3 linked regions of the Drosophila melanogaster genome follow. The protein of the gene in region 3 interacts with the protein of the main gene of each other region in a pairwise test. Each region holds a gene or a part of one and is shown on either strand. Other genes may lie near its edges.

Evidence for each region.
Region 1: the proteins of RapGAP1 (region 3) and CG30001 interact in a two-hybrid assay, tested with the Drosophila melanogaster proteins (one large-scale study listed by BioGRID).
Region 2: the proteins of RapGAP1 (region 3) and DCX-EMAP interact in a two-hybrid assay, tested with the Drosophila melanogaster proteins (one large-scale study listed by BioGRID).

Annotation. Positions count from the first base shown.
Region 1 is NT_033778.4:9,818,752-9,829,124, reverse strand, and holds CG30001 (uncharacterized protein), read left to right. Parts: upstream 1-6,169; 5' UTR 6,170-6,243; coding exon 6,244-6,309; intron 6,310-6,368; coding exon 6,369-6,461; intron 6,462-6,510; coding exon 6,511-6,620; intron 6,621-6,683; coding exon 6,684-6,778; intron 6,779-6,841; coding exon 6,842-6,970; intron 6,971-7,026; coding exon 7,027-7,178; intron 7,179-7,234; coding exon 7,235-7,379; intron 7,380-7,437; coding exon 7,438-7,688; intron 7,689-7,745; coding exon 7,746-7,865; 3' UTR 7,866-7,957; downstream 7,958-10,373. Other genes in the region: hebe, read left to right, coding at 1-698; dila (dilatory), read left to right, coding at 2,000-2,311, 2,365-3,760, 3,819-3,936, 3,999-4,136, 4,200-4,620, 4,822-5,477, 5,534-5,960; CG34033 (uncharacterized protein), read right to left, coding at 7,992-8,387, 8,446-8,556.
Region 2 is NT_037436.4:14,899,303-14,909,675, reverse strand, and holds the start of DCX-EMAP (Doublecortin-domain-containing echinoderm-microtubule-associated protein), read right to left. Parts: upstream 5,872-10,373; 5' UTR 5,440-5,871; coding exon 4,696-5,439; intron 1-4,695.
Region 3 is NT_033779.5:7,572,784-7,583,156, reverse strand, and holds the start of RapGAP1 (Rap GTPase activating protein 1), read left to right. Parts: upstream 1-4,176; 5' UTR 4,177-4,597; coding exon 4,598-4,920; intron 4,921-6,549; exon of another isoform or gene 6,550-6,912; intron 6,913-7,143; exon of another isoform or gene 7,144-7,423; intron 7,424-10,373. Other genes in the region: Spn28B (serpin 28B), read right to left, coding at 1-66, 120-258, 311-1,152, 1,210-1,222.

The sequences.
Region 1 (10,373 bases), on a different chromosome or scaffold from region 3:
TGGCCGCTGTAACCACCTCTGCCCTGATCACTAAACCCGAACCAGAGGACCCTGTAAGCAATGGACACAGTGAGGAGCCAAAGAACTCTGACGTAGGACCCGAAGAAGTGGCCAAGGCCATTGAGCAAGTTAACCAGGCAGTGGCAGGAGAGGATGAGGCGGAGGTGGAAGCCACCCCTGAGCCAGTTCCAGAACCTACTCCAGAGCCAGTGGCAGCCGAACGAAAGGCGGAGGCCGTGGTAGAGGAGCCCACTCAAGCTCCCGCAGCCGTGGAAGCCAAGGTGGAGGTGGTGGAGCCAGCTGCTCCCGTGCAAAATGGCCAGAAGGAGGAGGAGAAGGCTGTTCCTGCCACCAATGGCCTTAAGGAAGAGGAGGCTGCTCCTGCCACCAATGGTCATAAGGAGGAGGCGGATGCCATTACCATTTCGCACACCAACGGACAGAGTAGCGATGGACCCAGCATACCCACTCCGGATCCCAGTGGCGCCCTGGGAGTGAACTACGAACCCAAGACCGTGGTCAGCTTCTCGCAGGAATTGGGCAGCGGGGAGAACAAGTATCCGGATACCGTGAAGGTGGTCAGCGAGGTGCCCGCCGAATCGAATGGCGAGCTCAAGGAGCTGACCAAGCTGAAGTTCGACATCCAGAGCGATGATCAGAACGAGGTCCAGGTGACGCCCGTACTGCGGGCGGAATAGAAGATCGGCGGATCAAGATGAGAAGTAGTGCAATTTGTTTGTTAAACAAGAAACCATCAACTATATTGTGTTGTATTTTGTGTTAGCTGCTAAGTTGATTACGAGAAATGTTGCCAAATTTAATTTTATGCTTCGCGCATCAGTCAGTATCGAGAATGGAGTCGGAGTCGGAGTTGGAGCTGGAGCTGGAGAGCCTAATCCCCCATAGAGCCACCCATGGAGGCCCGGTCCCCAAAGCGTCATTTCGGGACTAGCTAGACCAAACTACGTGTATTGCAATAGACACCATTTGCTTTATTTAAATAAATTATTAATTAATATTGAAACCGCGCGTCTTTCGGCTGGAATATTCCTCTCGCGGTCACTGGATGGTCTTCGATAAGGGTGCTCCACCACAAGTGTGTGTATTTACTGTCACGTAGAGTACCTTAACTTGTTCCACAAAGATAACACTATATTTGTTTGCCCCAGGCGAACGAATTGTCCCATGGGGGAATGTTGTCTTAGAACTCGAAGTGTCTTAAATGGCGCATTGAGTTGCGTATCGCTATATGGAAATCTAGATCTCTAGATCTCCAGGGCTTTGCCCGCCGAAGTCAGCCTTTGATTCATGGGGAATTACTATGTTCTTTGCTGGAATCTAAGATATGTTTACAATTAGTCAGAGTAATGCTCCCATAAGTCGGCACAGATAGCACCCCCGAAAATGCTAAGACCACGAGCTCAGTCAGTGAGTTTCTAGACGTGGTGAATGAAAACCGAAAGTGTTTGCCGATGTCTAGCATTGAACCCCGTGCGGTGACCTTCGCATCGATATGCTCCAGTCGCAATCAGTTGTTCTCCGTGATTAATTGTTTTGATTCCGCTGGTTTGCCCGTGTGCCATAGTCGGTGATTGATTGGGAGACACGAATAATAATAAAATAATAAACGAGTGGAGTCGGATGAAGTGGAGTGGAGAGGTGTGGATTGGGAACGGAGTGGTGAATCATGCAGAGGACGCGACACCTGTTCCGGCGATCGAGGGTGGGTCAGGTGGTTCAGGTAGCTCAGGTGGTTCACCACTAAGGTAACCATGTCAACTTCGACCCGCCTGTTTTTTCCGGGGGTTGCAGTGCTGACCAACATCTGGCCTGCTCCTGACCCTCGTGGCTAGCACATGCGTTTAATCGATATGAAAGTGGTGGCGGTTTTTCACGTTGGCCAAAACAAACTGGAGTTAGTCCGTTTCGAAAACCAGTAGGCTATGGCAGGGCATTCAGTTCGAAAACTATCTAAATGAGTGCTTAATTCTAAGCTATTATGGATTTATGTCTTAAGGGCTCTCAGGTAAGCTCAGAGCGACATGGTCTACCCCCTTTTGGATTAGGTACTAAGAGTGGTCAACCGCAGATAAACCTCGCCACACGACAGAAAACGAAGCCCAAGTACACCAGTCGTTCGCTGACGACGCTCCACAATCCGTGTCCCCATTTCCGGCCACGCTCGGCCAACTTCCTGCAGCAGCGCAGTCGCTCCTCGCCTTTCCTGGGACGACCTCAGTCGGCGGACCCCAAGTTCGGTCGTCGGTTGAGCAACTACTTTGTTGAGAAGGAGCTGCGCAACGGCGGCAAGGTGAGTGGGTTTAACACCCTGCGGTCATCGGTGTTGTAATATTACCTTTTTAGAGACAAGTCTCGTCGAACGACTTGCTGAAATCCCTGCTGGAGGAGCCCATCAAGCGCAGTTGGCTCTGCCGCAGCACCTGCAACTCCTCCGAGTCCGACTACTCGCTACACAAACGCACTCCCGACAGCAGCGAGGAGGGGGAGCAGTTCCTGGTCAACATGCCAGTTGGTGAGAAGGTAAAATCCTACTCCTCGTACTCTGGAAATCAGGGCCTCAGTAACGGGGCTCTTCTTCAGCGCACCGCCAAGCCAGATCTTCCGGGAAGGGTGTCCTTCAGCAAGCCGAATATGCACGCGGACTTGGACTCCAGTGACTGCGACAATGACAAGCAGGAAGTGCGTCCCAGCATCTCCGCTCCGGGTCCTCTAACTCTTCCCAGTTTCCTGAGCAAAGTGGAACAAGCCGATCCCGTTGGGCAGAAGAAGTCCGTGCATTTTGGATCCACTGCAGCCGAGGGAGAAGTTCTGGCGGAGACCTACGAGTATCCAAAGTGCCCTTCGGAGAACTGTACATGCAGCACGCGATCCTCTTCCACCACAAGCACCAATGAGGCATCGGCATCGGACGTTAAGTGTGCCTGTGATGCTCCAAGCTGCCGGTTTATGGAGTCCTCCAAGCAAGTGGAACCAACTAGTCCCACACCCACTCTCCCAAAGGCTCCGTCATCGGAGCTAGATGTTATAAGGGAGTATAAACAGGCTGTGGAAGGCGTTCAAGTGGTCAAGAACCACTTGGGAACTGACACCCTGAACAACATTGAGATACTACCCAACTATCTGGACAAGTACGCTTCTCCCACTAAGGAGAAACAGAACAATCTGTCCGAGACCAAGAACATGGCGACCAATAGTTCCGCTGTTAACAACGGTTCCGTCGTCTACAGACCCGTTGGCAACCCAAGAAACTTCGGGGCAGAGAATAACTTTTTGCCAGCAGTGCAGGATGATAGGAGATCCTTTGCGAATGGCAGCTCCGATGGCGTCATTAATAACTATCTAAAGGTGGCCTCGACACCACCGTTTGTGGGCAAGAAAAAGGAGAACGTAAAGCCCGCCAGTGCCGATCCAATTGCCAGGAGCAGCAAATCCAAGGTGACTAAGTCCACAATCAATCCAGCTCCGCTGGGTAAGATGAAGAAGGCCATCAGTGTGGGCAGCCTACGAGAGGAGCGGAAACTCTCAGAGTACAATCTCGACAAGGTGGACAGCTGGATGAGCATGCAGGACCAGAAGCAATACGATGGCAAGCACAAGCCAGGACTGGAGGACCTGGACGAGGCACAGGACAATGATACCGCCTCCCAGTTGTCCCTAAAGTCGAATGAGGACTCCAGGGACTCGACATATGATGAAATAGTATCTGTCATCAAAGAGATCGAAGAGGACAAGAAAAGGGGTTAGTTACTGGTTTGGATCTAGAAGGGAACGTTCCTCATATTTGATTTCCTTGACAGACAACTTCTCCGAGGGAATCCCCAGCGAACTGAACCTAAACCTAGATTCCCGCTGTGAGACGGCCGACACAGTGACTGTGAGTGAAGGTAAAGTTCCCGAAAGTGGAGATAAGTACAAGTAAGTAAATACAAATTACCACATTGGTATCCATCCAGTTATATACTATGGTATCCTAACAGGGACATCCTGGCCTACCTGAACAATGTGGAGAGTAGTTGCGACAAGACGTTGATGGAAACACGTCGTTCCATACCGGATAGCAATCGATCGGAGGTGGAGTTCGTGGTGGAGCCCGATGTCACCGATGAGGTGCCCAAGTGGGTGAAGAGTCATGGATTCCCTTGAAGTTCTTCACTTACTATCCTTACCCTTTAATTCAGGCTATCCGAGTTGCTGATGCTGCCCAACCATCAGCTTGCCAGAAGGGTCATTGCCCTGAGCTTGCGGGCCAACGAGTTGGCCAATGCCATCCATATGTCCAAGGAGCACGTCTTCCAGCTGCGTGGCGAAAAGCAGAAGAGCCTGCGGGCCGAAAAATCCACCGCCGCGGCCAAGCTGCGTGATCAGAAGAAGCACTATGAGGAAGTGGTTACCCGCCACCAGGGATTCATCGAGCAGCTGCTCAAGGACAAGGGCTCCCTCTGCGAGAAGGTGGCGGCCCTCACGCGTCGCTTGGAGAGCCAGAACCAGGCATGGGAGCACCGCTTGGAAACTGAGCTGGCTAGGACCAAGGAGACCACCATGGCGGGCGAAAAGATCCGGCGAGAGCGATGGGTGCGCGAGAACACCAAGAAAATTAAGGTATAGGTTAGCTTTAAGGATCTCGATTCTTGTTATCCTTTAAAGTTGCACATATAAAGAATGGCTTAGGAATATTCCATCATTGGATCAGTAATTAGTATCTTAGTTTAGTCAAAACTATTACTTATGATAGGGTCCAGAATATTAGTAGTTTTTTACATAGCATTATATTAATAATCACCAATTTACTTCATTTTAAAGGAACTTACTGTTAAGGGCCTGGAGGCGGAGATCAACAAAATGAACTGCGACCACCAACGCGAGGTGACCGAGCTGAAGCGCACCCACCAGATGCAGTTGCTGGACGCCTTGGAAGAGGCACGCACGAAGCACGAGCAGATCGAGACTAGCATTCGCGAGAGCTGCGCCCAAGATCGTGAGGCCATTATCGAGAAGGAGCGCACTGCCATCCGGGAGCGATTCGAGCGCCAACTGGAGGAGGAGCAGAGGACACAGGCGGAGCAGCGCCAGAAACTGACCGAGGAGTTTGCCGCAGAGCGTGATCGCCTGCAGTCAGAACTACGGCAGCGGGAGAATGAGCACCAAGCCCGAAGACAAGAGGCTTTGCGGGAACAGGAGCAAGAGCTGGAGCAGGCAAAGTTTGAAATGCAGGAGCGCATGGCCAAGCAGGAGGAGAAGTATCAGAACCGTGTCAACACCATCGAGCAGCAGTACCAGGCTGACTTTGAGCTGTGGAAGACGGAGCACGAAAACAAGACCAAGTTGGCCCAGGCGGAGAAGGAGAACGCCATAAGGCAACACTACCGGGCGGAGAGAGATCGTCAGCTAGACGAACTGGTGGTGCGGATGGAGGCCGACGCACTGCAGCACAAAGAGGAGCACGAGCTAAAGATGAAGTGAGTACATGCAGGCCAAATAATATGAGCCCCCCTCCTAAGCCCAATATTTTCAGTCGCCTCAAGGAGAAGTACGAGAAGGATTTAGTTCTGGCCGAGAGCGTCGAGAAGTCGTTGCGGGAAAAGTATGCCGAGACTCGCGGCAAGCTGGCGGAGGCGGACGCCCAGGTGCGGAACAGCCAGGCGGAGGTGAAACAGCTGCAGTTGGAGCTGAGCCACAGCAAAAAGATGTGCGGCGACATCATCATGGAGCGGGACAGACTGCGCGACAACCTTAACGCGGACATCCAGAGCGAGCTGGGAGTGCTAAACGAGCGCCACAAGCAGGAGATGGATCAGCTTCAGAAGCGCGTCCACCAGACCATTCAGCGGCAGGAGGAGACCATTGAGATCCTGAAGGGCGACAACGATGCCCTCAGGCAGCAGTGTCTGAAGCTCAACGCTGTCATACGACAGCAGCGCAAGGATTATTGTGTTAAATAGACAATTACTCGAAATAGGTGTATGGGACCTCCAAGCTAAATATTATTAGGAAGGTTTTTTAATAAATGAGTGACGAATGGCTTAAAAATGATTTTGAAAAATGTAAATGGACTTAAATAATTGTAACGGCTGTAAATGAAATCGATAAGCGTGCTATAAATAACCGATTCCTCTCAAAGCGGTGTGGTATTTTCAGCCACAATAGCTGAGGTAACACTACACGCGGGTCAACAAAAACAATACTTGTTCATTTTGAATGTTTTTATAATTGGAGGTTTTTATAATGGAATATGTGCAGGAAAATAGAGGATTTACCAATATCGGCAATAGCTTTGGCTTCGTATGCAGAGTAAGCAATTCATCCTACACATTAAATGAGTTCATTTTAATTGCCAGTCTTTTACGCAGATTATAGAAAAGCAATGCGGAATTCAACAATTGGGAGCTCTTGAAAAATACGAATTTGCCGAGCTACTGAAGATTCTGAATGGCACAGAAAAGGTGAGTAGATTGAAGAAGAGATATTCGTAATCACACCTATTCTGTGCAGTTTCTGGCCTCCAAGTTCTTCTGCCAACTGCCAGCGAATGTCGGCAGTTTTCGAGTTCTCCGACAGCTACAGGAACTTCGCATCCTGACGGCCACGCAGTACATCTTTAGGTGGGTTTCATAAAGAAGCTGCTAGATGTACGGACCCCCATTTATCCGTAACTGAATTCACAGCAAGGAGGACTCCGATCAACTGCAGGTGGACCTGATCATATTCCTGGAATCTGAGTTCGAACTTCTCGCAAATGTTTTCTTTTCAGCGGCTTACGGTTGGTTTCTCTTGATCTTGATTCTAGCTATTTCCCCATTTCTACTGATTTATACACCGTCAGATGCTGAATCTGCGTTGAAGCTAACCTTGATACTGACAAGCGCTTTGGGGAATCTCTATTCCGGCCTCGTTGGCAATCCCAAGATATGCAGCTTGGCATATGTGGAGTTCTTGTGCAAAACCCTGCCAGGTTTGTTTTTTACTGCACTGCATGATATGCAAGTAACTAAATTATTACCCATTCAGATGAAGCGCTAAATGTTTGCATGAACATGCATTTAAGTACCCTGTTGGATCTTCACCGATCGGAGAATGTAGACGAGGCATTCGCCAGCTTTAGCGCCTGGATAAATGAGGGCGTCGACGAACTAACCTTTGTAAAGCACCTTTGCGATAAGGTTATGTTCTCTTAAAACGAGCTATGTATCTTGTCCTAATTGAATTCTACTTGCAGATGTTTGCTAGCCATCAGCAGGCAGCCCTTCAATATCTATTCAAACAGTCAAACACGGAAAACTTTAATCAGTGGAAGTTCTATCTAATACTTGTGCAAACTATCGCAAGCGCAGCCAATCCTGAAACCACCGCATACATTAAAAGTATATTGATTTCTGTAGTATAATTGCTTTTTAGGAAAAGTGATCTTTTCCTTTGCAGAGTATCTGAAAAATAGACTTCTGCAAACTGCATCCACGGCTTCCCTGGGATCCTTGCTTCATTTGCTGCTGACTGCAAGGGCTGCTTGTGCCTCAACCATGGATGTTCGTGCTAATCTAGACAACTATGCGAAGTGGTACAAGCAGAACATTGGTGAAATGACGTACATATTGGGCACGGAAAAGTTTCAGACAATCCTAAGGCTCTTGGAGGAGTCTTTACCATACGAAAAAGAGTTGCAATACCTGGAGGTAATTAAAAATAGAAATAATTTGATGCAACTATACTTATTGAATAATTTCCTTCAGATTCATGTGTCAATTGCCATTTCACCTGGTGGGCGGCTGGTTCAGGCCTACAAAACTAAGTGCAGGGCTCATGCAGCTCAACTTAAATCGGTGGCAAAGCGAAAGGCTTCCACAGACTAGATGCAAGGTGGTGCTATTCAATAAATAAAATACTCAGGATACTCGCACTGAACACTGAAACTCATTAAAATGTATTATGCTCATGCTGTCCCAAAAACCATTTATTTGTCTGCAGTAAACTATAAGTTAGTAGGCTACAAGATCTCTTTCCTCTGCGGTTATGACGCATTTTGAGTTTCCATGTTTCATGCTAACACCATCGCATTCATCGGTTTTAGTACAGATGAATCTCCGGTGTTCGCGACACTTTGCCGATTCAAATTTGAAAAAGTCGTTTTGCTGTTTAACATAGACGCATCCTTCGTTGTTCACCAGCTTTGAATTGTGCGGCGAGTACTCAATGGACTTGTTGTTCGAAACGTATCTGTAGGTGGGCTTATCGTGTGCATTCAATCCAAACCAGTACTCGTGGTCGTCTTGGTTTATTTTGCTTTTCATCTGGAATAGGGTAACTTCGGTGTTTAGATCAGCCAAGCACATGTGGAGGCTTTTGCAGATGGTCAGGGCACTAAACCAAGAAGCCTATGGTATTGTAATTTTGAAATTTCCAATCTCAATGACTTAAGTTAAGTCTACTCACTGTTTTTTCACTGAAATACAGGCATATGCCCTTACCGTTTGCCTCATCAGCACGCAAAAGCAGCAGCAGCCAAATGGGAAGACAGTAAAGCATGCGTAGTATTTGACTCATTTCTTTCGGTTTGTTGTATTCACCAGTACTGATGGATTTCGAAAGTTGCTCGTTTTGGTATAGCTCACTAATGCCATTATACCATGGTGCAAACAATTAGGGTTTGTGGTAAATTACCTTTCCATATTATTTGATATACCTTAACCTAAGCAGGTACCACAATTTTTTGCTAAATTATAATTTATATATTAATTCCCCATTTTTTTTTTTTGCAAAATTTCAAATCTAACTGATTTTTTTCTTGACAAAAGTTGGCAGCACCGTATATGTCTAACCAGTGGTTCGGTTGTAGTACCCCGACTATCGCTCTCGAAATAGAGCGCCACCTAGCCGATAAGAGTGCAACCACTTTACATCCACCAAAGGCATTGCCAACTGTAAATTTTTAGACACTTGTGGACTATATTTCTTACGAGTGGCGCTCTTCTCTTAGTTTTTAGTTTGTGTGAAACGTAAACGTAATTTAGATCATTGAACGTTACGTTGAACGTACTGTGACTACGACTCCACACGAGTTTATACGTTTCTGTGCTCTCGACGCAGTCGGACGTTTAAAAATAAACGCGCTCCACCAAAAATACCTAGCCCGCTGGCCGCAAACGCAAATAAATCTGAACAAAAATTCGAATTCCATCCGGATCAAACAAACTTACAAACCCGAAAATTAGTTCTTCGACTCCAACGGCCGAGAAAACCGCAACAGTTTCAAAATGTTCAGCTCGATTTCAGGTAAAAAAGAAAAGCCCAGCCGCCAATCGAAGTTTATGTGAAAGTTTGGAAATTAGAAATCTTAGGTCTAAGCATGTGTACATATGTATGTATATATATGTACATATGATATACGAATGATATATGTATGTGTGCAGTGAGTGGGTTACCGCACTGGAGGAAGGAAGTCACTCGACTCCAACTACAACTCCAACTGCACTTCCAAGTTACATCATCATCACCAGAGCAGCGGTGGAGTCGGACAGTTGGAGCAGCTGGTGACCACGCGGGATTTGGATCCACGGTCGGGTGGGGTTGGCCAACCGGGCGTGTTCGATCCGATACGGGTCGCAGTAGCTAAAACCTAATTATCCGCTACCGCGACTCTGGTGATGGCAATGATGGTGATGACGACGATGTGGATGATACGTAAGCCAATTATGGCGCAGTTATATGTAGCTCCAAATGGACTACAAGTTGCCGTTCTCGCTGGCACATCCCACACCCAAAACGATGATACGTATATAATTATAGCTGCCCAGATACACACTACACACAACACGTATCCGAGGCATCCATATATACTTTGTATCTTCGAGCGGTTACGCTGCTGCTCTTTCCTTGGGGCTCTGGCACACTTATATGTTCCTGATGTTCGGGGAAGTGGGTGCAAAGAACCAGAGTTCCATCAGCCAGCTCCGCTTTCGATCTCTGAAATCCTCCGGCAGTAGATGCCACTTGAGAACCGCATGGTCAAGCATTGGCACTTGTGAGTTAGGCACTTTTGTTCTATTATACATAGATTGTATTCATACCAATTAATATTATCTGTTCCCACTCAATGCCAAGCAGATGCATCGAAATGTAAGTAACCCCAAATGGTGAACTTTCCACTCAATTACCTTGATAATGTTACTCAGTATTAGACATTCCTCACCGACTGCGTAGTTCAACATTTAGTAGCTGCATATTGTTCCTATTCAGCACTTTGATCTTATATGTTTAGCATGTGTTTTGGGTCTATCAGCTAAAAACATTCCTTTGGAAACCAATGATTAAGAGCTTTTAAGTACATTCATTTTTTGATTTCTGCTTGAACAGATTGTTTA
Region 2 (10,373 bases), on a different chromosome or scaffold from region 3:
CTTGCACCTTTTGTTAAATTTTCGAAGTGAATGGAGGGGTAGGGTGCAGAGCTAAAGGGTTGGGAGGGGCAAAAGGCAGCTCTGGAGGCAACCGAGATTTTGTCGTGGCGCTGTAAGTGAAAAGGATCACGACCACGCAAATGCGCAATTTATGTCGTCAGGTGCAGTCAACGGACACAGTTGTCCCGGCCCCTCATCGCCATTTAACCCCCTTTCACCTCGTCTTTACCACCACCACCACCAACAGTCCATACCCCACCTGTTAGCCATAGTCAACTATCTGAGCCCACACCATCGCCATCGCCATCGCTCGCCAGCTGGTTCATCCACATTTCACATCCCTGGCGCGTGCAACACGTAAATGGCAGCGAAATTTATCAAACGCTTTATAGCCCAAAGGCAAGTTCCGAAGTTTTTGGCTTTCTGCGGTGTGGAAAAGCGATGAGGGCGGAAAACCTGGAAAATAACGCAGACGAGACGGTGGTTTGTGGGGTTTAATCTTGTTCACATGTCACTGCAGCTTGTTTGGTCATAAGTTGGCCGCCTTGGCAGGCAAAAAAAAAAAAAAATAATTGACGTGAAATCTGGTCGCTCTCCATTCGCCTTTCGCCCGTTACCACTGCCGATTACCACCCACTGCCCACTTTATATGCAGTTAATTACAATGGCGCTGACCTTGCGTGCTGCATGCCCCGCATTTTGGCTTTTGTTCTCTTGGCATGCCGCTCACGTTTGTGCCAAAAATCTTAATTTCTTTGCGGCTCTGCGTGTCCATTTTTCTTGGCCAACCGGGTTTTGGGGTGCAGCAGGAAAAGGAAAGCAAAGGAAAGTCCTGACCATCATTCATAATTGGCGTGCTGCACCTTTAAGGCGTATTTATGGCACAGTGGCATTATCGGTCAGCAGAATTCTGGTCTCTGGGCTAGTTGCTAAATTGCACGATATATATCTAATTTCACCGCTAAATTGGCCAGCAAGGAGAATTCAAATGGAATTTCATATTGCGGTCGAAAAAAGAGAAAAGCTTGTAAATGACATTGCAACTGCATTCGAAGGTGTGGTGGCAGAAGAACAAAATAAATTAAATAAAATACAAAATGCAGGGCGGTATTAAATCATTTCTTCATTTTCTTGAAACCAAACATTTTGTAATATTTTTATGGCATGACACATTCTTAATTCTACTGAAAGTTGGTCAGCTTTTAAATTGAATTTTTATGGGGTCAGAGCCGATACTATTTATATCATGTGTTAAAGGGTAAAATAGTTCAATTTTTAGTGTGTTTAGCATTTATGGATTTATACATTAACCGATTGAGGACTTTAGCATTAAATGAAATATCCTTATGCGGCCCAAGGCTAAAATAACGGCCAAAAAATATATTACAAAAGGGTTCTGTTTTGCATTTTACATTCCTTTGGTTTTATTAAATTTACTTTGAGATTATTTTCCATCCTCTTTACCAAGAAGATGTATACCATAAACAAATTAAGAATATGGAAATGAAAAATTGTTAAGGCGACAGCAACTTGAATTCCTTTCAGAGAAAGCTAACAAATTCCATTAATGCTCGTTAATCCCTTCCCCATTATTTTCCCTCGGCTCCTTGGAACAACCAAAAACGACGTTTCCTTTTCATTGTCTGAAAATTCCTCTGTCTCAACCCACTGTTGGGCCTTCGACCTTCTCTGGATGGTTAGAAATTTAAATTTTGATTACAAACTGTGTGCACAAGCCACCCACTCCGGGTTCTTTTGGCGCACAACACAGCAATTATTTGGCGGGGCAAGCTTTTGACAAGGTTAATGCAATTTGCTGCACCCAAAATCATTCAAATTTCGCGTGTCGGCGTGAGTGTCGTCACGCATGCCCGGTTGAATAAATTATCATAAATGATTTTGTAAACAGTTTTCGTCCGCTCGGCTCGGCCGCAAAATGAATTTATATTATTAGCCAGGCCAAAATGCACTTTGCGCCTGCTCTGGCCCGATTTCTTGGCCCCTCCCGTTCGGCGTAGTACTTTGCATACATTTTTAATTTCCCTAAGTGAAACGCCACAAGTTTTCAAATTGGCCTTTTTCGCGTGAGAGCGCCCGAAGTGCCGGCTGATTTTCTATGCATTTTCCCATCTGATGAGTATATATGTGCCCGCAGCTCCATTGTTCTTTGTGGCCTTTTGTGCCACGGCGTGGAGCTGGAGCCCACGACCCCACACAACGGATCCCCTTTGGTTGCCGAAGAGAGCGCCGCTGGCTCATCATAAGTTTTGATTTCAGGCGGTGCAGCGAATGGAGCGAAGCCCTATACATAGAGAAAAAATGGGTACTTTTCTTATTTCATTGGGAATTTGTAGGGCTAAACATCTTTCATCGAAGATTCCTGTTCTGCACACCAAAATTAGTATCAGGAACAAGTACATTTTCAATTCCCGGATAAAATTTTCTGAAAATTCTGAGATTTTGGATACATACTGGATAAATACTTAACTGAGCCATTCATCACAAATACATTTTTGGCTAACTTACTAAACCTTTGTACTTTACGGCCAAAATAACTCTATGATTTTGACACAATTTTTTCGGCTTAACGGTTAAAGTTTCTTTACCAATCGCATTCAAATTTTAAATTAGCAATAATGGAATTTTTTTTATATTTTCACTTTAAATGTATACCATTCTTGACCACAGCTACATCAAGTTATAGTTATTCTTCATAAATAGTCAATTTTCAGAAATAAATTGAACAAAACCGCGAATTGCGGTTTATTTTGGCCTTGGGTTTTTATTGACCATATTTTTTGGTGAAAACCGCAAACTCTCAGTTCAATCATTTTATGTCGGTGATTTTTTCAAAAGTTTTTTAATGTTGCAAAATCAGGTTACATACTCAGTACTTTAAATACAATATTTCAAGCGCAGTAGTTAAAAAATGAAATGACACTATTTTATTAAACGCTCAGAATAAGATTAAACTGTTGCCGAAGATCTTTGAGGAAAAGAAAAAACAAAAAATTCAAATATTTCGACACTTCTCTCATGTTCTACCAAGAACAAAAAATCCGAATATATATGTATGAGTTCTGTCAATCTTGACCGAAAAAAAAAATATCCTTGGTTGAAGTATTTTCGCAAGTGCACTCTGCATGCTCCATGCTGCGCTTTTGTTTGCTAGCCGCGGGCCAGGCGCAATTGCCTTTGCCGTAGCGAGTTGCAGCTGAAGTTGAGGCCGGAGTCGCAGTCGGTACTTGGTGTCCCGTAGTGGAGCCCGGAGGAGAAGCCCCAACCTGGTGGATGGCGGGTGTGGGGTCTTGGGTATCCTGGCGGGATGGAATGGCTGCCTTTTTTCTTTGTCTTGGGCACTGGCACATCCTGACTTTGGCTCACGCTTCGACTGCATTAGACGCATAGTCGGGGATGGCTTTTGACTTGGTCGTTAGCGATTATGGTTTGCCGCAGCCTCTCCAGCCAATCCCACAAAAACACCCCAACTCCCAAAGCCACTCCCACTCAGCCTTATCATCATCAGCCACCCACAACGTTTGTCAAACGGAAGGTGGAAACTTTTTCAATAGTTGTTCCGGAACATGTTGGATGTGCGGACGCTTGATTGCTGCACCCGCATGATGTCTGCGATTTGTGTGGATTTTTTTTTGTTTTTGGCCAACTGCCTCGGCCAGATGTAAAAAGAGAAGACTTTTAAGCCAACTGTTTGGCGAGTATCTGATTGAAATTTATGCGAAAGTCAACCCTTCAAATGGGTTGCCTAAAAAAATGTCCTTGGGTGACGAAATGGTTTTTCGAATTTCATACAATGTTTTTATGACTTTATCCCCTTGTTTCTTATACTTAAGTCTTTTTACATTAATATAATTAACTTGTTTTATAGAATCAAGAAATTAATGTACTATGTAAATAAAAGAAATAATTTTCTCCCTCGAACTTTTGGATGAAAAGTTATCGTTAAATCTGTTACTTTTAATTCGATTCCATCCACCGCTTTCAGTATATTGATGGAACTTATCGATAAACTGCCAGCTGACCATTTCGGCCTAAAGAGTTAATGTCCTTATCCTTTTTTGCTCAACTGAGCTACTCTTAAGAACCACTGTTCTCTTAGCCGTCCCAACTCTCAAGTTAGCCCACTCTCAGTCGACCATAAAGGCTAAGACCTAATTCCCAACTTGCCCTCGTGGCAGGCCAAAAGGCGTGCTAATTGTTGGCATTGTTTCTAGGGCTAGACTCCCACAACAGCGAGAGTGAGTGAATGCGAATGTGTATGTGAATGAGAGCGAGAGAAAACGAAAGTGCTTGCATGCAAAAATGTGGCCCCACCGAACAACTAACCACCCACCCGCTCACTTCACCCATTTCCCCCGCAAGGACCCGCTTTTCCGAAGAAGAGGGAGCAAAACAAAGAAGCCGAAAGGAAAGCGACGCCTTTGATTTTTAGGCCAAGTGACCAAGTTTTCTCACTCCACAGCGCTGACCGCAAAAAAACGCCAAAACCTCGTATATAGTTTTATGTATGTTATGCACACTTACACACACAACCGGCACACTAACTAAAATTATACCAAAATATTCAAATTTATATTGATTTTGCGCCTGACGTGAAAACTCTCACTTAAACTTCAAAATAATGAAAAACTTAGCTGAGCTGAAAGCAGAAATGCATGCAAATAATCTGGTACTAACCTTGAAGGCCTTGAACGAGGATACGACATAGAAGGCTCCATCCTCCAGTTCATCGAGATGATATTTTCGATCTCCGTCCATGGAGAACACATATCGAGCACCCCGTGGCAAGTCCATCTTGGGCGAGATCTTATCGAGAAGATTGTCCAGTGAGGTTACATCCCGTCCGGGACGATAGCGCAGCTCCACACCCGGAAAGAATGGATCCCCATTCCGGTAGAACACCACACGGCGTGCCTTCCAATAGGAGAGATTATTATATCGCGATGCCGCTGCACTTGAAATTTCTGGACGGGATTTAGATCGCACCAGCGGCACCACTGGCGGCTGCTCCGAGTTCTCGCTCATGTTGTCCAGATACCCGGGACTAATGGCGCGACTCTGCCGCCCACTGGTTGCACCAGTGGTCGCACCGTTCCGTTGCTGCCAATAATCCGGCACCTGGCGATCTCCACCAGCCACCTGCTCGCTGGCTGCTAAGTCCTCCTCATCATTATCGTACCGGCTGGTGTTCTGAATCCGGAAGCTGGAGGACACTGGGCGCTTGGGACTCTTCGCAGGACTGCTGCGGTTGCTATCGTTGTTGCCGTTGATGTTGCTGCCGTGCTTGTTAATGTTGCTGCTGCTGCTGTGGATGCCGTTCCCGTTCCCGTTCCCGTTGTGCAGATTATCATCCAAATGGGGCTGCGTCGGTGGCGGCGAAACGTTTCCCTCGAGCGGTGCGTTCGGACTAATTTGTGGCATTGTTTGGCCGCCCAGAACGGAGTCGTTACTGCCAGCTGCCTCTCCACCGCCATCGACCTCATCCTCGCCGGTCTGGGCCTGACTCAAGCTGGCCATATAGTCGTCGTTCTCTTCGTTGGACATTGTCCTGGTGTTGGTACTGTTGCTTGTCCTGCTCCTAAAGCAGTCACGTCAGCTTTCTCTTAAGGAATTGGCTCAACTTGCGTGCTCGGTTTGTTGTGGTCAAACGGAATCGCTAAGGGCAGCGTCGCGTCGACGCAAAGGAAAACTTGGAGCTCCCAAAAGGGGGGCAACTTCTTGGAGGTTTTCTTCGAGCACGCAGTCGCTGGTTGCCCAGCAAAGAACTACGTTGCTGGCCTGGCTAAAGTGGAAAATGTTTGATTAGAAATTTGATTAAGGATTTAATTTAAGTCATTTTAAATAATATTTTTGGAACCAAAAAAAAACATTTTTTTATAAAACATCGGTTCGAACATCGAACGTCACTCTCCTAATATAAGAGGTCTATAAAAGGTTGGAAGTAAATTCTGTTAAGGAATCTATCAGTTATAATATTCGTGATTCAAAATTGTTTATCATGTACCAACTGTGGAGAAACAATGCCAAATCTTCACAGTTCTCTGATAGCCTTTAACATGTCAATAGATTGTAATTATCGAATATATATTCCCATGTAATGTCTTCATTCATAATCCTCAAACACAGCATACATATGTCCTGGTCCTTGTTCCACTCAAGCCTTGCACTTAGAAATATCAACTGTTAACTATATCCTCACCCTCTACGTAATCGATATGCCACGAACTCTCGATGCAATGTGTCCAATGCTCCCATTGCCCAGGGCTCTCCAGAGTTCCGCCCTCTCAGCCTGCCTGCTGCTCGACTCCCCCACTTCACAGGACTCCAAAGGATTCAATGGGCTGTCCGGCGAGCACTTGCCACTGCCTTTGTCCCAGCAAACAGACCAAAGAGCCCCACTCAACCATTCGGCGTGGGCACTACAAACATTCACACTTCTGCGGGGTCGAGGGACAGGGTTCTGGGTTCTGGGTTCAGGGTTCACAGTTCAGGCGGCTCCACTCCTCTCCTCTCCCGCTGGAGAGGCCGAAAATATCGCGTATTATTTGCCCTGCCTTGCCTTGCCTTGCATTTGGCTACCTCACACATCGATGAGGGTACACTCGAAGTCGTATGAAAAAATTCTAAACCATTTTGGGTTTAGGTTCAAGAACTATATTGTGTCCAAAATAAATGCATAAACAATTCTAGTTGTATCTTTATATATATATTCTATATATTATTACTAATATCTAACTAAAAACTCGCACAAAAGGACCCGCAATATCACTTTGCAAATTTGTTATATTTAACATCTGAATACCCCAGAAACAGGATTTTAGATTTAAGGAAAATCATTCTGGCTGTTTTTCCTGATTTTTCCCCAGTGCATCGAGTGTTAAGCACCGAAAAATTGCAGACGGCAGGGAACAAGCCGACGACTCCTGGCTTAAGTGGCATTGGTCTCTTGTGTCTTTGACCACTCTGCACTCACACTCACACACAGTTCACCTACAACCATTCACACACACTTCCACACAAACCGGGATCCAAGTCCTTTTCACTGCATTGGAATTTCGTGTATTTTACAATTGCAACAAAAAATAAATATTTGTGGGCCAAGGGAGCTGGAATTTTCACTGGTGAGCCCTTTTACTTGATTTTTTTTATGGTTTCACCTTTTTATTTGTGGGGTGGCGGCGGGCTTGGGTTTGGATTTACCTGTTTTATGCAAATTTGTTTTTATTGCAACACGTTGCACGTTGCTTCTTCCTTTTGGTCGTCGTATTTATGGCCGTATATTTTTTCGGTTGGGGTAAAAGTGGCGCGGTGGCTTCTTTTGCGGCAATTAGGTTAATGACACTTGGGCCGGCAGTTGTTGCTTTGGGTTATTTATGCACAAACAGTTGTGCCTCTCCACTTGCAACATCAGCAGCATCCACTTCCACTAATTGCCTATCAATCAGCCGCAATTGTCTCCACTTTTGGATCGGTTTTTCGGGGAAAAACGGGAAAAACACTCACTTATCGGATAGCACAAACCCATTTACTTGAATCAAATTTAATGAACTCGAAGGCGAGTTTATTAAAACATCTCTCGCGCTGGCAAGAAAGTTGGCCAAAACAAAAGTGCGAAAGTTTTGCTTACTTTCTGGCATTTACCGATGCACAAGAAGAAATTCCGTGTGGCAACTTTGCCGGTCAAAGTGTTTTTGAAGTGTGTTTCGAGCGGCGCTGCCTGCTGGCTGTTCTGCTGGTTTTCCCGCAGCTTTACCTTCTGCTGCTACTGCTGCCTTTTGTCCACTCTAAATTTCCTTGGCGACGCAGCCAATTTTCTTAGAGAGTGCCTTTCTCTTTCTACCTCCTTTCCTCGAATCGCGAATCGAATTACACGTTCGCCTGTGTGAGTGACTGACTTATGGGGCTAACTGCCCACCGCTTCCCGCCCGCTGCTCCACCACTAATTGTGCCCTGCTTAGGAAAACCACAAGCACTCGCACACAAACACACACACTCACACACTCACACAGACATGCACTCATACCAGTGCAAAGGAAAATCCAGTGGGCCATTTGCTGTGTTCTCTTAGCTGTTTGGCTTTTTCACCTTTCTCATTGCACTATTACCTGTCGACCAGTGGCGTCGCCAGGAGATTCCTTATCCTCTCCAATTATTATGTTCGCATGGGATCCAGTAGATTCCTGGCTTTGACCGATTGATTGTGGGATTGTGTCTTTGCCCGCGGCGGAGCTTCGGCCTTTAAACTGATTTCCAGGGGAGAGCTGCAGGGTAGGGAAACGCTTACCATAACACCGTAGCTTTAGCTAAAGCAGGTCCTTTTACCCCCTGTGGCTCAAAGGCTTCATGGCACTGTGGTTAGATTTTTTTGACTTTAATAAGCTGGATGGCTATTTTCTAAATGATATAATACATATTTGGTTTAGAAGATGGTCAAAGGAAAGGCACAAACACTTTCTAGAAAATAATACAAATTATCTAAGCCCTGTTTTATTTACATTAAAGAGAGTTTCCCAACATTTTCTATGATTATTTAATGACAATTGTAGTAAAATATAATTTAATAAGCAAGCATATATATGCTTATAGCCATATCCGAGGCTTGCAAAAACATTTTTCCCAACGATTAACTTTTATAATCGCTTGACTGGATATGGCAGCTGGATTAATGGTACGTAATTGAAACTTTATATTTATATTTTCGAAATTCCCAAACACTGCACCACAGTACCTGACTTCCCCCGTCCCAACACCGCCATTAACCACCACCACTTCGCTTTCAAATTCTGACTTGGGGCACGTTCCCCGAGGGGAAGTCGCAGTTTTTTGCTTATCGTGTTTATATTGTCGTCGTTGTGTGTGCTTGGGGTTTATGTTCGTGTGTTTTGTCGTCGCCTTAGTCAGCAACGTCAACGTCAACCTCACGGATCCAGCAGCAGCACCTTTCTCATAGAGAAGGTGCCATACCCCTCGATAGAGGGGTCCTCGAGGGGGCTGGTTATGCGCCACTCACATGCAACTACTTGGCCAAAACAATTTGTGGGTTATTTTCGCTGCTTTTGGCAGTGCTGTGAAATTTTCTGTGTCACGCTGGTCGCACGAGCAACAGTCCCCGCGAATAGTACACTCCCACTAAACCGCAGAAATAAATTCTATTGGCGGGTGGTAGAGATTGGCTGGGGTAATGCTTTCATTTTTTCTATCGTACAATTAGGCCAAACGTTTGTGGAAATTTGTTTTTATTACAATGCTATTACTCGTAAATTGTATTGGTTGGGGGCGAGGACTCTCCGTTAATAACTTCGTGAGTTTCCTTCGCCGTACGCCCTCGCATTCTTTTAAATTAATCACATTTTTGTGTGGGCGACGCAACGTTTTGGTGAAGTTAATGTATTATTTTAATGCCATTTCCGGCTGGCTGCCTGATTTATGGATTTTCAGCCATATTTCTGTTTAATTATTTCGCCAGCTTTGTGAATTGCCACACAATTGAATCATCAGATGAAAGTAGCTGCGGATTATCTTTACTCCGCTAAATGGGAATTTTTTCCCAATGGCAATTTCAAAGTAATTTTCTCATGCCCCGCAGAGGTAAACTTTTAAGCTGACTTACGTAGCTTCGATCTGAAGCATCATTCTATCCAGTTTCAATTTCAATTATCTAATTTTGCCCAACAGACCCAAGCTGGCAAACAACAAACTATTAGAGGAGCCAACAGTGGCACGCCCACATCAGTTAACAACTAAAATAAGCTTCCTTTCTGTTGCCAATACGACTCCTTTGTGCCTCCCACTTTCGGCCACCAATCAAAGTGCATGAGAGTGCTTAGGGACTGTGCTGGCAGGAAGTCTTGATAACATAAAATGGTATTTCAGACATTATTTAAATATATTGGTATCCATTTTATATTATTATATTATTTGGAACCGTAAATACACATTTTGAAAATTTTTAATAGCTATACCAGATTCTTTTACAATTTTCTTTGTTTAATTTTATATATTTGGTTTCTGTAATTATAGAATTCTGTGAATAAACACTATTGGATTGCATATTTCTTAAAGGCGTTGAACGTTTTAGTAACTTTTTTGTAGACATCTTGCCCTCGTTTTGGATTAGATTCCAGCATCACTGGGTAAAAAGGTACCTGCCATAATGAGCTCTTTCAATGCCCCAGAGAGCGGGTGGGACAAGGTGCGGGTGGTGCAAAAGTGCAGGCTGCAGCACCTTGTTGCCGTTCGGCATTGTGCTCACATGAAGGACTCTGGTACTGCGGCAGCGGTGGCAGAATCCACGAAAAGTCGATGCCCACAAAGGATGTTTTGTTTGCTGTAAATGCCCACTGTGCAGCAGCATG
Region 3 (10,373 bases):
CAGCTATAAACTCCATTGGAGGCTGTATTAAATTGTCAATGGACTTCTTTCGGCGAGTAAGAACACCTAAAAGATATTACGTAAATGCTACGAATCCTGGGGGAATTGTTATTACTCACCTGTTGCCGCAGAAGCTTCGCCACCCTTTTCATCGATCTTCAGAAAGGCCTTTTGCACAATTTTATCGATCTTAGCACCAGATTCTAGGACGAGCCCATTTAAGTCAGCTGAGGGCTTAAATACATCTAGAATGCCTAACTGAGGAAAGGTATAAATAAAAGGTATCATTTATATTTAGCAATATACTAACATTTTCAAAAATTCCCTTTAGTTGTGCTTTAGATTCGATTTTGAACTTGGGCAGTTTAACATTTACGGATTTTTTTTCCAAATGATAGTCAATAAAACCAACTTTCTCTTTCAGTTTTCTAAGACCATCAACACTATTGGGCAGAATGATGCGCATAGAAAGAGTTGAGTTCCAGTAGGGTAGTTCGATAATCTTTGCATCAATGTCATCGATGTATCCTGATAGTAGGGATGCAGACAAAGTCATCATCTTCACCGGAATAATTTCGTTAGCTGATACATAGAAGTCGGCTATATGAGTTTGGTCGGCCTTGAAGTTATACAGCCACTGGCCCTTGAAGTAGATTGCATTCACCAGAAACGCACTTGTATCCGAATTAAAGTCCTTAGGTAAAACTATGTTCCGGATCATGCCACGCGTTCGATTTAATATCCAGCTATTGACTATCGCAGACGCACTGACTGGATCGTCTAGACGGATCGACTTGGCTTTGGCCTTGAAGGCCTTTCGTGCCAACTGGTTAAATTCCGGTACAAGGCAATATTTCTTGTTCACATATATCCGGTTTGCCATATGCAGGATAATAAACGTTTCGCGGCGCTTAAGATCGCTTAAAAGGCTACGATAGTTGTTTGCCACAAGTGTTTTGTTCTCAGAAAATTTCAAAACGTTTCTAAGCTCTTCGAACGTTTTTCCACCTGATGCCATATAAACCATGCTCATAATAATCTCAGCAGATATCGGCGAATAAATGAGGTTCCTTTTTGCATTCTGCGATGCTAGAATTCGATAAAAGTCCTCCCAAAACCCGCTCTCTACTGAGGTGGCCAACAAAAGAAGATCTAAGGGAATTAGACTGAATTGTTGCAGAGTAAAATACGATTTCGTTGACCGCTTACACAAGTATTTCATTCTGAGAGCGGCTTCAGACTAAACGCATATTAGCAGACCGTAAGGAAATATAAATATATAAATATAAATATATTATTGATGGTAATTTAATTAAGAACGCCTGAAGACACAGCTCCCCATTAGACATACTTCCGAACTCTATGCGTTGCATTTCACGAATCCGATACTACTGGTTCATCTAATGAACACATGTCAATTAAAGCCGCGGTCTCGTGTCTCATGTCCGTGGAATGAAATATGTTCGCTAGTTTCAGTCTTCAACTCAGTCTGAGACTCCTTCTGCAACTCCAACGTCAGATCCAGCTCAAACGTGCACTGATAAAATTATCAATCATAATCTTTTTTAATTTATAAAATTTGTTTTAAAAAAAGTTTATAATGACAAATCAATTAAGACGTATTAATTTAAATCTTTATCGTCTTTAATGATTCAGTAATTCACTTTTATGGCCTGTTTGAATAAATTTCATTAGTTTTTGAAGTATAGAGAAATAAAGTTTTTGACAACAATTATTAAATTAAAATAGAATACATTTTTTTCCGTGTAGATCGAAGTTTGCGTGCTTCGTGGCTGCCTGTGTTACGTTACGCACATTTTCGCGTATTTGGGTGAGTCGAAGGGGGTGCTGCATATGTTTGTGGCAAATGGGGGGCCGATAAAGAGGGGCATACAAGCGACAGCTTGGACATGTTTGCCTCAAACCCCTCAAAAAACGACGAACCAAAATGCAAGTGTCTCGCCTTACAGTCGCCCCCAACTCTTTCACTAGGTTTTTCTTTGAGCCTGATTTATGTCGTCGAGTGTCGCGGGTGTTGCGTGCCGGCACCCACAGACCCCTTCTTACCCCTTCCTATAGACAGGAAAAAATTATGTTTAATAAATAAATATAAAGTTTAACAAAGAAATATTAAGCTTATTCTTGATCCTAAGCTATACGATTGTATAGAAATATTTCTAAATGTATATGAACATACTAAACTATCTGTATCTATTTAGATTGTTTTCAAAAAATAGTTGTTACTTGAGCAGATTTTTAAGAACACATAGAAAAGCCAAGAGTTTTTTCCAGTGCAGTTATCCGAGACTGCGGGCAGTGCAGTTTTAGTTTTTTTTTCTACTCTGCGGTCAGTTTGCTGTCTTCTTTCGATTGGCACTGAAGCGGAGCATGCGATTTCCGCTTTAATGTAATTTTGACAACGCACACACGATGCTCGAGTGGTCATGGGGGATGGGGGCGGTGCTGGGGGGTTGATGTAGGGGGGCGGTTGCGATTGAGTATCGTCATCAAGGAAATGTCATGATAAATCTTACTCGACTTTCCCGTGGCCGAAACCGTTACAGTAGCAACTGCGAATTCGATTTCGATTTGGGTTTTCGATTTCACTTTAAATTGGTTTTGATACTCTGTAATTAGGAGATCGCGATAGGGGGAAAATTAAACATTAAACACTTATTAAGTCACATGAATTTTTGAAATGCATCAAAAGGCATTAAAACAGATAAGAAGTATTTCGACAAAATAGAAATGCCATTTTCTATTTTGAATGCAGGCAGATGCATTTTACTAAAAAGAGTATCTTGAAGCTACAACGACTTGATTTCTTTTTTATAATTTTCATATTTACAGCTCTCTTATCGAGCGATTTGTTTTGCATGTTCCATTTATCTGATTTGCTGGATATTCCATTACCTGTTAACTCGATTGCAGCGGCATTTAGCAGTTGTGGAACCACTTTTCGACGCCACTGTCTTCATCCCCCCCATCGACTTTAATGCACTTATTCTCCGTCCGTTTTTTGTGCATATTGCGACGCCCTGAAGTCTGTTTCCTTATCACCCTCTTTTCGAGAACCATTAAAGTTCTTGGTGGTGACCCGCAGCAGAATCGTAAACCCAGCTTGACTCATTGATGCATCGATGAGACATTTATATTTTCCAGTTGTCCCCACACTACTTTTTCCTATTCCAAGTGCCATAGAAATGAGGAAAATCTGAGTAAAATCGTCGCTTATTATGCGCAAATCAATTTCCCAGCACCTGAAAATGTCAAACGAAGGTGTAAGAATCAGATAAGAGAAAATCTTGATGGATTGTTTAATTAATTAACCAAAGTCTAAATGGTGATTGATTGGAGCATTGAACTAGACAATGGTTTCTATTCATGGGGCGTGTTAAAGGGGGCGGTGCTGAAAACCCTGAGATATCCGATAGCTGGAAATGGTAAATAAAAATAAATAAAGACGTCTCTATATGTACGGATTACACTTAATTTGTATATCGGCAGCAATAAAATGAAAACGAGCTGACTTAGCGGAATCCCAGCTCGGTCATTTATCACCAGCACAGTAAAACTGAAATACAATCCAAAACTAGTAAAAACGTTTAACTGGCGCTTAAGAATGGAATATACCTTTTATATTTATAAAAGAGTACAATATCCACTTCTTTAGTGGTTTCTAAATTAAACCTAAAAAATGTAAATTTAATTTTTAATAAAACACATTAACCCCAAAAAGGTGAGAATATTTATTATTTATAGTACATTGTTTGAATTAAGTCCTCACATGATTAGTGAGAGGTTTGGTTTTATCTTTTATATGTTAATTGCGCTGTTATGTTACTGTTATTGCATTGTATTGATTCATCGCTTCTAAATAAATAAATATATAAAAAAAAAAACATTGTTTGAACAGATTTTTGATGCTTATATGATCGCTTTAAGTACATATATTCCCAATTAAGATCAGAAGTACCCGGTATGTTTAAAATAATGAAATCGCAAGAAATATAAGTAAATTCAGAAAAAAACACTATGCAATAAAACGTGCGAAGTTATAAAAACAATGGAAATGGAAAGAGAGGGAGAGCAAAAACAAGCGAGGGAGAACGCTCCAGATAATGGAGCTCGGTTCTAAAAAGTCGGTTCTTGGGGCTCTGTTCCGATTCTTTGTTGCGGTCAGTCGGAAAATCGAAGGCGGCGCGACGCGACATCATATCGAAACCCCAACGAAACGCGATTTATGCAACGAACGAATTCTAATTTATGCAAAGAAAAAAAAAATGTAGACATAAATTAATTTTATAACTATAGTCACATTGTGTAATGAGTGAATATAATAAATCTAAGTGTAAGCCCGGAGTAGAAATGATAAGAGTACCAATTCGCAGTGAAAAATATAAATTAAAAATATAATATATTCTACAATCTATATGGAAAGTTATAAACGTATATATTTCAATTAACTTAATAAATTCATTATAATAAAACAAACTAATAAAAAACACATGCAATTACTAGAGTACATAGTACATATTCTGTTAGTACATATTCTCAAGAGTAACCTTTCAAAATTTAGTAGATTTAGGCGATAAAAATGAGTTCCTACAGGACATTGGTGGATCATGGCCATCCGATTATAGTGGGAAGCAGTGAAATATCGCTGGCCCCGAGTTCGGCAGCCAGTTCGCCCAAGCCCCTACACCGGATGATCAAGTACTGGCGCAACAGTTCCGGAAAAATTCCGGGTCTCCGCAAAAGCGAGAGTTTCGCCGAGTATCGTCGCCATTCATCCAACTCGGCCACAATTTCGGGAGGATCAGGGGGCAGATCGAGCACTTCGAGTGCCAGGCAATTGCAATACCAGCGACTGGAGATGGAAAGCTGCGAGAATATAGATATGCTGACAGAACCACTAAGGTAAGTGCACTTAATGATAAAAACTAGTTTTTTTTTTCAATTTATTCATTAATAAATTACTCATTTTTATGAGTGCCAAGATATTAATGTGGTTAATCGTTTAGAATCAGAGCATCAGGTGGTCAAGAATTTAAAATTTGTTTGTGCCTAGCATTTGAAAGGTTTTAAAATGATTTTACCCATTTATTACCTACACATCGTAAACAAATCAATTTTATTTCTTTCTCTTGTAAATCACTTCCATGGAGACCGAGATAAATGTTGAATGACCAAATATATGCATGCATTCCATACCTGTTTATATAGAAACTACCAAAGAAGTGGCATCCATTGTCTTGCGGTTCACTTTGATGTGTAACCCCAAAAATGTGGGGCATGCAACAGTTGGTTATCTGTTTTCGGGTTTTCGAAACGCCCCTCGCAGCTGCGGTTTATCGTGTGGTTATCAGCTGTTCGTTATCAGCCGCCAACGAAAACATCGGCAAGCATGTGGATGATAAAAACGAGGGAACAAGTGCAACACGCCGACGTCATTTTGTGGATTGTGGAAACAGTTCGCGGGAGAACTGCATTTTTTGCATTTACAAATACAAGTCGAAAGTTTGTGAACACTTTTCAAAGTGATTCTTTTTCCACAAATTGTTAGATTTGGTGTACAAGACAAAAAACAATGTTTAGTCAACAAAAGTTGACGGAAAATTCTTTTTTATAACTACTATAACATACATACATACATATTCAATTTCGTATTCTGTAATACTTATTCGGGTTGACATCAGAAATCCAGAAAAATGGTATATCCAAATTGTGAAAATACTTTCTCTCGAAAAAGGCTCATGAAAGAACGTGTTCTGGAATAACACCACTTTCCAAGGGGGCGAACGCCGACTGTTTTTGGCTCGTGCCTCTGTTTACTTGTGTATTGGTGTCCCACGCCGGTTCCGGTTATTCGGTTTGTTTTGGTTATCTCTCGGTGGAGGGAAATCATTGCCTTCTGCATACTTTTGGGGTACACTGTGCAAATAATTAACTGGCAACTGCATTGCCGGCTTCTTTGAATTGCATTGTTTTCCAAACTGTTTACTTTGGCTAATGCGGGCAGCTCCGCTCTCCCCTGGCAACAACTCTTTCTGTTTGCCTAAACTGCGCGCATTTGGAATGTAAATAAATGTAAATAAACAAGAATTTCGCCCCCATAAAGGCAACAAAAGCAGTGAGAGCAGAACAACAACAAACTCGCTCTCTCGCCTTAACAAAAATGCAACGTGCACGTACAGTTAAGGTCGCAGCAATAGCACGGATTTTTATAAAATTATCTGCTCTTTAATATGAATTAATGCATATCTGTATCATCACATGTTTTACATGTTATTTCATATATCATTCCACTCTTCTTTGTCTGCGCTGCATTAAATAATTTTTATCTGTCTAAGCTTCATAATATATGTGTACATAAATAAAATCTCCATAACTGGATCCACAGCCACTATTATTTTGGCCCCCACTGTGGAGTTTGTGGATCGCATTCGCCAGTGGAACCTGAAATCTGAGCTTCGTGCGCAACGATGTTGTTCGTCGCTCGCATTCGTGTTCGTTTGGGGCCAGACCCGCAGCTTTTCTGCTTTGCGACTCAGAGTCGATTTGTGAACCAACTCGTGTGGGCGTCCGAGCCAGCGAGTGTCCGACTAAGTGTGTGCGTGTGCGAGGACGACCGGGCGTGTGTGTGAGCGTTGTCGCGCGTCTGCGTCGCGAAATCCTGATATCGGGAATCGGAACAGGAATCGTAATATATTTCGGGTCTGCGGTCCAGACGCTGATGCGTCTTCTTCATTAGCTGTTCGAAAAGTAACGGTAGAACGCAAAGCAGTTGCAAATCGACAGCAACAGAAGACGGCGAGAAGCGCCACGAATGGAAAAATCAAAACAAACAAGAAAATTGTTAAAAAAGAAGAGCAAACAACAAACGAATACTCGAATATGTGAAAGTGCTAGGTAATCAACCAAAAAAATTATAAAATTAATATAACCAATTAAGGCAATGATGATTTGTGGTTTTGAATTCTTGAAAAAAGTGAACAAAAACAAATCATGCTAAGCATAACACGCAAACTTTCTTCAACAATTAATTTGCAATTGATCCCACTGAGGCGGTTTCCTAAACAGCCTAAACAAAAGAAAGAAAACGAAAGCAATAAATAGACAAACAATAAGCAAAATGTTTGACGAACTTTTAATTGAACGTGTGTGCTTGAATAACAACAAATTGAAATCGCATTTGTTGGCCTTATCAAAAAATTAGAAGCGAAAGTGGCAAAGGTGTCTTAATGGGCAAGACAAATAGAAATCAAAATAAGTTTGCCAAAAAAAAAAAACAGCTGCATAAATACGCGCACGTAGTTAAAAGTGAAATTTTTAAACAAAAATCGTTGGCTGAAATTGAAATGTAACGAGCAAAGAATCCAAAAGCAGAAGCGAAGAAAGTGTTGAAACCAAGTGAAATTGTGTGCGTAATATTTTGTGCAATTCAATTACGAAAATTCCATCCAATAACAAGTGCATGAAATGACGGAATAACATAATCAGCACAGACAAATGTCAAACCACTGAAAAGAAACTACAAATGAGAAATATTTATAAAAAGAAATAACCACAAAAAAGTTCCGTTTTTGTCTCATTCCTCTCCCTCTTTCTTCATCTCGTTTTTGGCGGTTCCCGAGTTTTCTTGCGTTTTGTTTTCTGTGTCTTTGGAGTTCGATTGAAATGCGTCACGCATGATTATTACGTGTATTTTTGGTTTTTATAACCATTTTATCTTCCTGCGATCAGCTTAAAATTGTGTTTCTTTATTTGTTGTGATTTATGTGCAAGTTGTGTGAGGTGATTGCAGATATGTATAAGTTACCTCAACAATTGGATATGGTGATGTGAAATTCGGTTTTTTACAAGGGGGTGAAAACATTTGAAGATCATGAACCCCAACAGGTTTTTTATATTCAATACAAAAACGGAATTGTATATTACTTCCCATAAAGGAATTTTGAATTAATTAAAGATCTTTCCAACGTGGTATCAACTTTTTCTGGTCCTAATGCTTCAATTAATATTTAAATTTATTAGAGTTGTTATGTGAAATTGGAAGTGGAACAATTTCCAACCAACTCCATTGGGAAAAGCGTTTTTTCTCGTCTCCGACTGGCAAAAATGCAAATTAAAATTCACGCATTTTCCACCTCTTTTTGCGCCCTGTTCGCCTGTCCCGTTAAATGACAATGTTGCATCTCCTTCTGCTTCTACTACTCCTCCCATTCTTTGCTACTGTTGTTGTTGTTGTTGGTGTTGTTGTTGTTTTCCTATTAATATGCATAGCCGGCGGTCAAAAAGTAAAAAAATGTATGTATGGTAAATTCGCAGAGCACGTGAATTTCTTTTTGGCTTTTGAAACGGGTTTGGCCTGAAATGATTTCAGTTTGTGTTGCCGTGTTTTCTGCTGTTGACTTTTCATTTTCGTTAAATTTTTTCTCGATTTTTGTCTCGCTGCTGCAGCTTGCAAAAATATTTATTGGCATGTGTGTGCGAGTTTTGCGACTGCTGTTTTGGTTGTTTGCTGTTTTCACTGCTTTGCCAGCTGCAGCTTTCTGGAATTTCAGTTGCTCTTTCGAGAAAACGGGGTAACACGAGCTGTGCGAGTCGCTACATCATAAAAATCATATTTTTTATAGAGACCTGGTGGCCGGACTTAGATATGGAATAGTTTGTTAAACTGTGTACTCTTATTTAATTGATAATGTAATTATAAATGCAGCTTATACAAACCCTTCAGGTATAAACATATTACCAATTAAATAAAAAATTCCTAATACATTTTAAAATTAAAATTAATAACAAAACTGAAGCGTCTCTAGCAGATTAGGGTATTAGATCTCAAACATATGTAAGTTGAGGTCTTTAAGAGCATCCATGGTTCGCAAGGTAAATATATAGTTCCGTACCTCTACCATTGCATCTCCCGCTTTTGGCAATATGCTCCCATTCCGAACTCACCTGGATACCCTGCTCTTTTCCTTTGTTTGCTTTTGCCTGTTGCATTTTTGGGGCTCCGAATATTTGTTGCAGTTCGTTCCGAGGGCGAAAAAGGTAAACGACAGCTCATCAAATATTCATGCCATTCGAGAAGAGATTCTCGCCGCACGAATCGGATGTTTGCCTTTTGACAGATAACTTTTTTTTTTTTTTTTGGTTTTGGGGCGGGGGAGTCCGCAGAAGAGCCGCCCCATTGACTCTCTTTGGGATGTAAAGTAAACCTCAGCGATGCGGAATGTAAATGAACTCGAGAACCAAATTGGCCTTGTCGCTCGGTGTGAAGATACGGACAATAACAGAAAGCTGTGAAAAACAATCCCAAGAAAACAGCTGCTTTTTGGCCACATCTCTTGCTATCTGCTTCTGATTCCCCGCCGCCTTCGTCTCCTCCGCTACTCGGATTCTTGGACTCTACACCTCCGCTTCTCGGATTCTCCGGCTGTCCATTCATCGTTCTGCGTCTGTCTGGCCCATCAATTGTCTTGTCATCCCTCTCACTTTTCGCCGCCTCCCTTTCTCGCCGCCACTCGAGAGTTCAAGTTGAAGTGCAGTCAGCACAAAAGCTTGGCTCAGAAAGAGATGTCGTTAGGGGAAAGGCGAAAGAGGCGGATAAGCCTCGGCGTGTCATTCGCCTGCATTGATTTTGGATTCCCTTTCATGACCAGTACTCAAAAAGGCGAGGGTATGTTGGGACTTTGGATACAGTGTGCATTCTGAACTCCTTAAATTTCAGTACATAAAAGTTGCGAAACTTATTTCTTTAGGTTAGATCTACATGTTTTAGGATCGAGTTTTTAAAGGATTGTTTAAATAAATTTAAGTTAAGTATTGCTTAAGCTAACATGGAATAGTATACTTTCTTTAAAGTAAAAACATATTTGTGATAAAAGCAAAGTAGTTGGTAATTTAAAGTCCCCATTTTCGATCATCTTACTAAGGCTTTGTAGGCTGCTGCAAAATTTACCGTTTTGCCAACGCGTTGTGTGTTGACCTTTTGCTTATCTCAACTGCCGCAGATCCCCCTCACCCCCTTTTGCGTTTATTCGTGGAAAAACACACGCGAATTTAATTTATGGGGCGTGTGCCGCCGCTTCTCCCATGACATGGCCCAGTGCCAAATGGCTCGCATCCGAATTGGAAATGGAAAAGTCGGACGGTCGGCGGGGGGAGTGTCTGCCTCTACGTTTAGTGCTCACTTTAATTGCCTTTGCCTCGATTTTTCTATATTTTCCTCCTTTGTTTACGACCTGTTCGCACCTGGGCCAAAAATAATAAAGTATACAGTTTAGTGGCCGAGTTTCTAACGAAAACATGATGAAACTTATAATTTTTAATAATTTTGTTATTTTTATTACAAGCCAAGGTCGTTCTCA